Arabidopsis thaliana: one gene and its partner. The protein of the gene in region 2 interacts with the protein of the main gene of each other region in a pairwise test. Each region holds a gene or a part of one and is shown on either strand. Other genes may lie near its edges.

What was found. Proteins that work in one complex are often made in the same cells at the same time.
Region 1: the proteins of HSFB3 (region 2) and AT3G43430 interact in a two-hybrid assay, tested with the Arabidopsis thaliana proteins (one large-scale study listed by BioGRID).

What each region holds. Positions count from the first base shown.
Region 1 is NC_003074.8:15,352,665-15,357,332, reverse strand, and holds AT3G43430 (RING/U-box superfamily protein), read left to right. Parts: upstream 1-1,838; 5' UTR 1,839-2,071; coding exon 2,072-2,575; 3' UTR 2,576-2,798; downstream 2,799-4,668.
Region 2 is NC_003071.7:17,378,951-17,384,971, forward strand, and holds HSFB3 (heat shock transcription factor B3), read left to right. Parts: upstream 1-2,696; 5' UTR 2,697-2,772; coding exon 2,773-3,069; intron 3,070-3,189; coding exon 3,190-3,627; 3' UTR 3,628-3,901; downstream 3,902-6,021. Other genes in the region: NTRC (NADPH-dependent thioredoxin reductase C), read right to left, coding at 1-78; ABCA1 (ATP-binding cassette A1), read right to left, coding at 4,289-4,370, 4,467-4,528, 4,610-4,743, 4,836-5,139, 5,228-5,302, 5,389-5,525, 5,664-5,814. UniProt on the Arabidopsis thaliana protein: Transcriptional regulator that specifically binds DNA sequence 5'-AGAAnnTTCT-3' known as heat shock promoter elements (HSE).

The sequences.
Region 1 (4,668 bases), on a different chromosome or scaffold from region 2:
GGCATTTGCAAATATGCCTTTTTCATCTTTGTTTATATATATATTAGGTTTACAAGAAAAGAAAGAAGAAAAGGTATGGCATTTGGAGGTTGAGCATTTGACATGAAAGTTGAAGTAATGGAATCTGAGTAGGATAGTTAGGAAATTGATGTGTCAGATTGGGACCACCTTGTCTTTTTGTTCGTAGACGACATCATGTGTCATGTGCATGTGGAAAGGATTTGTTCCGTTTTTTTTTTTTTTTTTCCTAGAACATAATTAAGGACTATCATTATAAAGTTAAATCGTTCTCTAATTCTTCTTTTTATATCCTAACTAATACTTCATTGAATACATCATTGAACTCTTACCATTAAAAAAATAGTGATGCTTACGTAAATTTCTAAAGTAAAACCGAGAAACAGAAGAAGCCAAACCACTGTTATAAATGGGTTGATGTCTATCACCACAATTGAGATTCTTTATTAATTAGCTATTGCTATACGATTAATATTTAAACTTCAACGAAGGTGCTACGTATAAGATTATTTTAATATAATGAAAAAGATGCGACGTAAGCCGAAATATTTGATATACATTAATATCATCTCGATTCACTAGTACCATCATTCATATCATAATATACTTAACTACGGTTTTGATTGATAATCACTTTACAAAACGGTACAAAACGTTATAAAATATATAATTTTAACAATTACCAATCACAAAAACGTTGCTAAAAATTTTACTCTTAGTTTTTTTTTATAATTTTCTCGTATAGTTTTTTTTACAGCTTTGCATTGTTTCGAAAAAGCTAACAGCTAACAGATTTTAGTTACCATCGGACCCTATAAATTTATTCGTGAAATATCATAAAATTATTTACACCTTTTAAGTTTTTATTGTTTAATCATTTTTCTTTCGGTTTCTTTTTGTTAAATTAAAATAGATAAGTAATGAAAATCAAAAGAAAACCAAAGAAAAGAAAAAACCCAAAGAAAGTTATGTGAGAATATGGGATATTGGAATTGTGAAAATATATATATATATTTTTTTGTAAACTATATTTCTGACGTAAAAGCTAACAGAGAACATAAAAAGCACATGAATATATATGTAAAGAAAACAAGGCGTAATCGTTAAGGCAATAAGCCACAAATGGAGTAACAAATTTAAAGGTTTATGTGAATGTGACCAAATTGCTTCTAAAAGATAACCAACGATAATGATACTAAAATCTGTTACGTCAAAATGTTTTTTTTTCTTTTCATATATGTTTCTCTTTTTAGGTGGTTTGGTAAAAGGAAGAGAAAAAGAAACGATTACGATCATCTTTTATTCCTCACCGTCTCTCTCAATCTCTCATGCAAGCAAATACTGCAAGCCAGAGTAGCACAGACTGTGACACGAACGCCACTATCCCAACGTCACCTTCTCCTGCTCTTTCTCTTGTATTTCACTTTAGTCTCTTCTCTCAACTGTCGTCACCTAGATATTTTTAGATTCTTATTTCTTCACCCAAAACTCTTTTGATTGATCCTCTGAGTAACATTTAACTTTATAAATGTGTTCAAGGGTTTATATTCCACGATCATATATAAAATTATGTTACAAAGTTTCATTACATTAACTAACAGAACTCTATCCAAACATTAATCTTCTCCTTTTACTCAATTTCAACTAACTAACAGTTCATGCATTGAATTTTCAATTGTACTGTATGAATAAAATAGCTTAATAGCACATTAAATTTGACTGATTAAGTTTTCCAACATCAACAGCTGAATAAAAAAAAATATATCCTCAATGCAGACTCATAATTTATTATATAGATTAAAATATGTGGATACAGATAAGCATAACAGAAAATTTGACACCGAAAGTTGTAATGAAAAAAACAATTGTAAATAAATAAATACTTTTGCAAAAATAATAATAAAAATAGTTAAAATAAATAAAATAAAAAGCCACTTACACCAATGAAAAACCAAACCATCACCACCTTTAAGTTGTCTTTATAAAGACGCATGACTCTAACTTCTAGTCCTCCCTCTTCTTCTCCTCTCTTTCTCTACTCCAAGTTTTCACAATGACATTCTTCATCGAAGACACTAGTCTCATCATCAGCCACGTTCTCTACAAAACGGCACTTATCATCACCGTTTTACGATGGATCTTTGCATGGATCCTCCGTTACCGCTCAAGATCCTCCTCATCATCATCATCTCAATCCTCCTCTTCTCCTTCTATTTCATCACAAACCATCAAAGAAAGCCTAGCCGTGTCCGCTTTCCGCGACGCGGTGGAGAGATCTCCCGCGGCGATAAACGACATGTGTGCCGTGTGTCTAGGAGATCTTGAAGACGAGGACGAAATCAGAGAGCTTAGGAACTGTACTCACGTGTTTCATCGTGATTGTATTGACCGATGGCTAGATTATGAATGTTGCGGCGGTGATGATGATAACCACCGTACTTGTCCCCTATGTCGAACGCCGTTGCTTCCATCTTTCACTGATTACTCAACCGTTACTCAAACTAGTTGGGCTGTTGAACGACTTCTTTACCTCTTCGGCGACGATCTTCTTCCCTGACTTTTATTTTTCTTTTAGAAAACATTTGATTTCATATTTTTTTTATGAATATTGTAATTGGTAGAGGGGTCGAATAGGAAATATAAGAGTGATTGATCGCAATTATACGAAATCGAATCAATTTGATTTGATTGTATATACAAATGTTAAACTGTATTAATTCTCCTCTTCAGATAAATGTCTAACATTTTTTATTATTATTTCAACATTTTTCATTTATTTATCCTTTCTTAGTTGTCACATTCCGTTTTATTGTTTTCTACTTATCTCTATAGTATTTTTTTAAGTATAATTTTTACGGATGGGTTAAACTATTTTCGGATACATATGATACCCAATTTAATAAAAATATTATTCATAAAAGTTTGGGTGGATCGGATTATATTTGACCCGACTCTTCTATTGTTTTTTTTATCTAAAGTTGGATACAAATATTACCAAAATTAGATCATATCTACTAATTATGTTTCTATATTAAATAATACATATAGTTAGAATATTTGGTAATAATTTAAATCTATGATTCTCTTTTCATCTTTATTTAATTTTTTTTAATTTTTTTGGATAATCGTATAATACATAAAGTAAACAATTTTTTTTCATATATTTTGATTCAAATTTTGAAAACGAACATATATTATCCAATTATTGAAAAAGTATATGTTTAACATCACACATTAGCTAAAATATTTAGAAAATAATTCATAATCACACTGTAAATAAAATCAAAATGAATCCAAATCCGAATGACTAGGGACCTTAACTCAACAAGCATCCAAATTTAAAAATTTCAATATGTGCTAATTCTGTTTTTAGTAAAAATGTTTCATTTCACTGGAAATATAATAATTAATATATTCAAAAGCAATAAAAAATTTATAATATTATAAACATCTGAACATATAAAAAAAACCGAGACAGATGAAATTGCGGAACTAGTTTTTATGGTGGCATGGAAGGACAGAGTTTGAATCAACATTAATAAAAAATTTAAAATATCATTAATTCGCCGCTTCAATACGAGGCAGAATAAAATCAATATTTTTTAAATTATTAAATTTGAACATATTAATAGAAAATAGCACAAAACGGATTATATTGCAAGGATGGACTATATAGCGGGATGAGTTGAATTAACATTAATAAATTTTTAAAATATTATTAATTCATCGCTTCAATATGGATTAAACCCTCATTTTATTATTTTTAACACCACTATTATTAAATATATCGAATCAGCTTGATTTAAATAAAATTATATAGACAAAAATAATCTCGTAGTATACCTTTGCTTAATAATAATTGTAAACTATAAAAATATGAATGTCCTACAAAATTATACTATTTACAAATTTTTATATATAATACATAATCATTAAATATTTAAAATCACTACTTAAAATCTAGTTTTCAGTATAAAATTCAAAATCATTGCAAAGACATATTTCATACAACCATATTTGTGTTAAGATCAAATCATGCAGAAAAAAAAAAATTCATATCCAAAAGCCAAATCAAACTAAATTTTTTATTAGATATTTTTAAGAGAAATTATTTACAGGTAGAGAAAAGATTATCTTTTATTTTGTCGGTTATTCAGAAAAAAGCATTATTGGATAAAACCTGATATATCAAAATTTTTACTGTTTTTACCCATGATAAATGTATTCGTTTTAGAATATTTTTTATTGTCATTACAGGTATTTATATGATTGAGATGCGTTTGAAAATAAAGAGACATTTTGGAGTAAAACCAAGAGAATTAAACTAAAGAGAAGAATTTAGAGTCAGACCATGTTACCAGTGTCGATCGATACCATTTGCGGTCGAACAAAAAGTCTCTAGAATTTAATGTTTTGAAGACTACAAAAAATACCCATAAGTTATCTCTATTTGTAAGAAGCCACCTTTTTTTTTCTTTTTTCTCTTGTCATCAGTTTTTATTTAGAGCTCAAAAGAGCCAATGTTGAGGAAAATTGTTTACATAAGTGACATGAAGCGGTTCAGTACGAACTTTTCGTGCCAAATTGTCTGCTTTAACATTTACATTACGAGAAATTAAATATAAAGAGAAACTTGTAAATTCTTCCTTG
Region 2 (6,021 bases):
AGCGGATGAGGCGGCGGAGACACGGTGAGGCGATGAGACGGAGGCAATACCGATGCCTATCTTGGGAGACGCAGCCATATTTTTTTTGATTGCCTTACCTTTACCAGAGACCATACAATTGTCTCTTTGGCTTTGCAGTTAAAAAAAAACATCCCGATTTTCTGTTGGCGACTGTGCCTCACGCGCCTCAGCATTATCTCTTTGCTTCCAAGTCCACAGGCTTAGATGATTTTCAGCCGTTGGATATATGTGATGAAGCGACTGAACGGTGGAGATGTGTTTTGACTGATTTTACTTCGTCTTTTCAACGGAGGGATAAGCCAATCGCTTTTTTTTTAAGTGGGAAAGATCGCCAAGAGTTTAAGTGGACGGACGACGCTTTTTATATTGGGCCATAAATGGGCCTGTTTTGGTACTGAATATTTAGTCACGACGAAGATTCTTAAACCCACCGGAAAATGGGCTAATCTGTGTGCGGATTGCTTCGCCAAAAAGTTAGTACTAATAATTTATAAAGCATAACTAGCTAAATGCGAAGACTATATAGTTTACTTAGTTCTGAAGAGGTTGAAGTGGAAATGAAATGAACTAGGAGTTGGTGAGGGAAGGTGACAGACTATTTTTTCTTAAGTCAAAAAGTTAAGCTGACCAAAAAAGAGCAGCCCAATGAAAGCAAGGATCTTTATCTTTAGTCTAGTGTCTGAATTCCATGCACTTCCAATGTTTTAGTCAACAAAATGTACTTACATTTGATGACTTGATGTTGTATAGATTCGTTAGGAAGCCACATCACTAAACGTTAAGCATAACTTTATGGTTAAAAAAAAACCCCCCCACCGTGTTCTTACTTGTCATCCAAATTCGATCTGCCATTTGAAGTTTCCTAAGCTGTTCTTGATGACTATTCTTAAATTCGATGTTTATATCTTACCATCTAAATTAAGCCTTACAAGAGCTACATATCCAAGTAGTATATGCTGGAGTAGTTTTGTGATCCCTTAATCTTATTGTTCAACAAATAATTTCAACAGGACATATATATGGATCACTACTGTTAAAACGATATAGTAGAGCTTAAGCGTTAGGATTTGTATTATTAGTTGTCTCTCTCTTTTACAGACGCGTGGAAGGTACGCGCCGTCATAGGAACATTGTCGGTAATCCCCTTCAAACACCAGTAGTCAGTAGATCGATGACTTGAATTACATCACTGTCCCCTACTTTGACCAATAGAGATCTAAAGGTTTCCTTTCTTGCATTATTGTGCTAAAACCGACATTTACTTAAGTTACTTGATTATGTCTTGGAAAAAAAAAAAGATTTTAACTTTGGGAACTTTTATTCAACTGAAATTTTAAAGAATTATTTAATTTGGAATTCCTTCTATAAATTTACTGGCTTTTACCGTTATACGTTACCATAAACTTATATATATGATCAAATTCGACCGTGATGAATGATCACTTTTTTAACTTTCCATTCAGATCAACTGAACCCCCTTACTTTTTCTATATATACTCTTTTAAGCACTTGTTTATATATTATCAACAAATTAAGGTGTCGAAAGTAACATACAATTAGACAAAGCATGTATAGTCAAAAAGATAGATAGTCATCAATTTTGAAAAACGAGCAATTTACATGATCCTACAAAACAACAAAACTAACTATATGAAATATCAAGTTTATAATCATTTTTAAAAATACCATTACAAAAGATTTGTACTTTGAATATAATTTAACATGAAATTTAGAAAACGATCTGTTTAAGAATATAACTTCTGCTATGTGGTATTTTAACTGGTACTTTATAGAGAAAAAAAGATTGGTAATTAATGTGATATTTTTGCAATCCATATTATATATTCGAGAGATTTTACTAATGATAGTACTTGATTAATCATTAGAGAAAACTAAATCTTACAAATATAGGTAGACATGATGAATAATATGCATGATTTGCGTTTCGTAAATTGATAGTACCACCTCACCTAAAGGGGGTCCAAACGAGTTGCTTCATATCACAATATCCAATTTTACCAACATACATTAATATATGTGTATTCACATATATACCTCGTGATTAATATTTTTTTTAAAATCATTTTTCGTTTGTTTCCTATACGTCTAATCAAACACACACGTTACAACTAAAATTATATTGACAATATAGCTCGGTTGGTAAAAGCAACGACTACTGCAGTTTCCCTGAAAAACTTAAGACCAGTACTAAATATCAACTATACAAATTAAGTTGATATCAGTTTTTTTGGGGGTAAAGTAATCCAATATCATTCTAAAATTAAAAGCAAAATGTCGTTAGTTATACATGTTAGAGACGAGCGTTGTGTTTGAGAAAAAAAAGAGTTATGTCGTATAGTGGATTCGACGTAAATATTATCGATGGTTGGTTTCAAACCTGAAAAATTACATGTCATATTGTCATCAAACATCGATTTTCATTTGATATAAGAAAAATATATTTACAAACACAATCGTGTGTGTGTGTATGCATCATGATTATATGCATGTTAGTGTTAGAGTTACATATTCTATAGAATATGTAAATAGTTAGAAGCGTACGTTCCTTGAAAATTGTTCAAAGTATTTCTATTATTGTTTTCTTTTGTTAAAGTATTTCTATTATTGTCTCAACCACCTAATTAAATTAAATAACGTCTCTATCTCTTTCTATGGAGTCGTGTTACGTCTTTCTAGTTTGAGATCTTCTACTACTTGTTTTCTTCAAGAATAATAATTTTCGTTTTATATATGGAAGATGCTGGTGAACATTTACGGTGTAACGATAACGTTAACGACGAGGAGCGTTTGCCATTGGAGTTTATGATCGGAAACTCAACATCCACGGCGGAGCTACAGCCGCCTCCACCGTTCTTGGTAAAGACATACAAAGTGGTGGAGGATCCGACGACGGACGGGGTTATATCTTGGAACGAATACGGAACTGGTTTCGTCGTGTGGCAGCCGGCAGAATTCGCTAGAGATCTGTTACCAACACTTTTCAAGCATTGCAACTTCTCTAGCTTCGTTCGCCAGCTCAATACTTACGTACGTATATATGCTTCACTGTTTCAATCAGTATTTTAAACTATTTGTGTTTCTTTGAGTTTACTAAGTGTATTTGCTTAATTAAAGGCATTAATGAGTGTTGTTACAAAAATATTATAGGGTTTTCGAAAAGTAACGACGATAAGATGGGAATTTAGTAATGAGATGTTTCGAAAGGGGCAAAGAGAGCTTATGAGCAATATCCGAAGAAGGAAGAGCCAACATTGGTCACACAACAAGTCTAATCACCAGGTTGTACCAACAACAACGATGGTGAATCAAGAAGGTCATCAACGGATTGGGATTGATCATCACCATGAGGATCAACAGTCTTCCGCCACTTCATCCTCTTTCGTATACACTGCATTACTCGACGAAAACAAATGCTTGAAGAATGAAAACGAGTTATTAAGCTGCGAACTTGGGAAAACCAAGAAGAAATGCAAGCAGCTTATGGAGTTGGTGGAGAGATACAGAGGAGAAGACGAAGATGCAACTGATGAAAGTGATGATGAAGAAGATGAAGGGCTTAAGTTGTTCGGAGTAAAACTTGAATGAAACTAGATTGCTAGATTGATATTCGTAATATACCAGTTTCTTCATATTCTTAGAAGTTTTGCATAACTATATATAGTACTCTTTTAAGACATGCAAGATCAGAACATATGTCCGAGAAATATCGGATTCTTTGCTGTATTGGTTAAGTCTCGTGTTCATAACATGGTACATCGTGTGTATATATATAGCCATTAACTAAGAGAACGTTTTCTCATGTATTTGCGAAATTTAAAACTATTTTGGGTAGATGAGATGAGTTACATCTCACTTTGGGCTGTGGTCAGGATGATTTTGGTTATGTAAGCCGCGTTAATAATGGTATCACTAGCTGCAAAATGGTTGAATTTTGGTAAATCTCAACTCTCAACTTTCAACTCTCAAAGCAGGCCTAGAACTAGAAGTAAAAGATTGGCATTCTCTTATTTCGAATTTAGGCCAGAACATACGGCACATTAGGGTTTTTTCCAGATTTTTAGTTGATGGAAGATAAAATATGAGGCATCATGTATATAGACATTAAGACCACAGGTTTCTCATGTATATGTCATATTTACAACTATGTTGAGTACGCAGATGAGATTATAATAAGTGATCAGATCTCTCTTTGGGCTATGGTCACAAAGGGTTTTTGTTGTACAAGCCGCAATAATGGTTTCACTGGCTATGAGTTAGCTGCAAAATGATTGAATATGGTCTCAAGTGTGGATTGACTTATACTGTATTCAGCTATTCCCAGCCGATTCCTGCCATAGAATGAAGCAAATTTCTTTCCTCAGACTTACAAAGACTGATGTTGTGTGGATCATGGAGAAGAAACAGTTAAAAGAAGAATGTCTTACCGGTTTCTTTCAAGATGTCCAAAGGCATCCGCAAGTGACAATCCTCCTTCTCCAAATGGCAACTGCAACCCAAGAGAGACAAATATGGAGCACTAGTCCAAGAGTAATCTTAGAGCCAATAGATTTTGTGTTTAATAATTTACCTGGTACTTGATACTCAGTCCATTGCAGCTTTTGAATGTTGCACCGGGAAACGAAGATTGTATGAAAGAATCCAATGCTGAGAACTTTTCTTTGGTTAGCCACCACTCGGCAAATATTGGAAGTGGAATACCACCTGTTCAGCATCAAACGGATAAAACATATATTTATGCTACAAGTCGTGAAATAAGGCAAATCTAAAAAAGTATGTGACATGTGTGCTCCTACCATCTCGAAACAGCTGCTCTGATAACTGGTCATCGAATCGCACATCTTCCTCAGGCAATGGAGGTACCAGAGTACTCACTCTCTGCTCATTACCAAGAAACTTGGCAATCCTCTGTACCATTTCTGGTGACAAACTGATTTCTGATGCTGAAGCCGTATCAGGAGTAATCGAGTCAGAGACACCTATACAAACTTCGAGATCACCCAGTAAACTTCTAGGCTGCGTAGGAACGTTAAACAGCCACTGCTGAATTATTTGGCAAAAGTTCTCCAATTCCACATTGCTGACTTCATTGGGTTTGACCTAATTGGTAAGACAGCCAACATTACGCACAAGCTTTGAGAAATGATCCTTCCTACCATTGAAACAAAACACCATTGTAAAAAGGTACCTCTAACTCTAGGTGGTTTCCGTAGCGTGTCTTTAAGTGTTGTGGACTACCTATGCATCTTAGGCGGCCTCCTACCTGTAGTTTGAGGAGTATGGTTCTGTGAGGTGGAAAGATTTAAGGAACTAACGCCCTAAGGAGTTCAAAATGAGTTAAGAAAATACCATGATCCCGATCCTAGTGCAAAGTGCTTGAGCTTCATTCATGCTATGAGTAGTCAGAATGACCGCTGTCTTTCCACTCCTTGTCGACAAGCGGGATATCACATCCCACATGAATCTTTTGGCAACAGGATCCATACCTGAAGCATTAAAAACAAAAACACAAAAAACTTTACCCAGTAGCTAAGAACTAGTGTAGAACAGAGATGAAGTCTTCGTTAGTGATTTTAAAGTCAAACTGGTCAGGCAAGTCAACCAAAATCTTGATTGGGTTATACCTGTAGATGGTTCATCGAGGATGACAATAGGAGGATCTCCAATCATTGCAATAGCAACGGATAGTTTGCGCTTGTTTCCGCCACTAAGAGTGAACGATGGCTTGTGAGAATGTTTCAACAAGTCAAACTCGACTAACTTTTCCGTAACCACCTGTTATCAGATAACACATATCAGACAATGTCCAATTAGGAACTTCCACTAGTTAGATTTATGCCTAATAGTAAGGTTGTGATTTTGAATATATTTTTAATTTATCCTAGACGGTAGAGAAAGATGATTTGTTCAAATGTTATGTAGGTATTTAACTTAGCCAAACACCTATACTTCTATTGGGGAATCACAGAACTCATTAAGGCG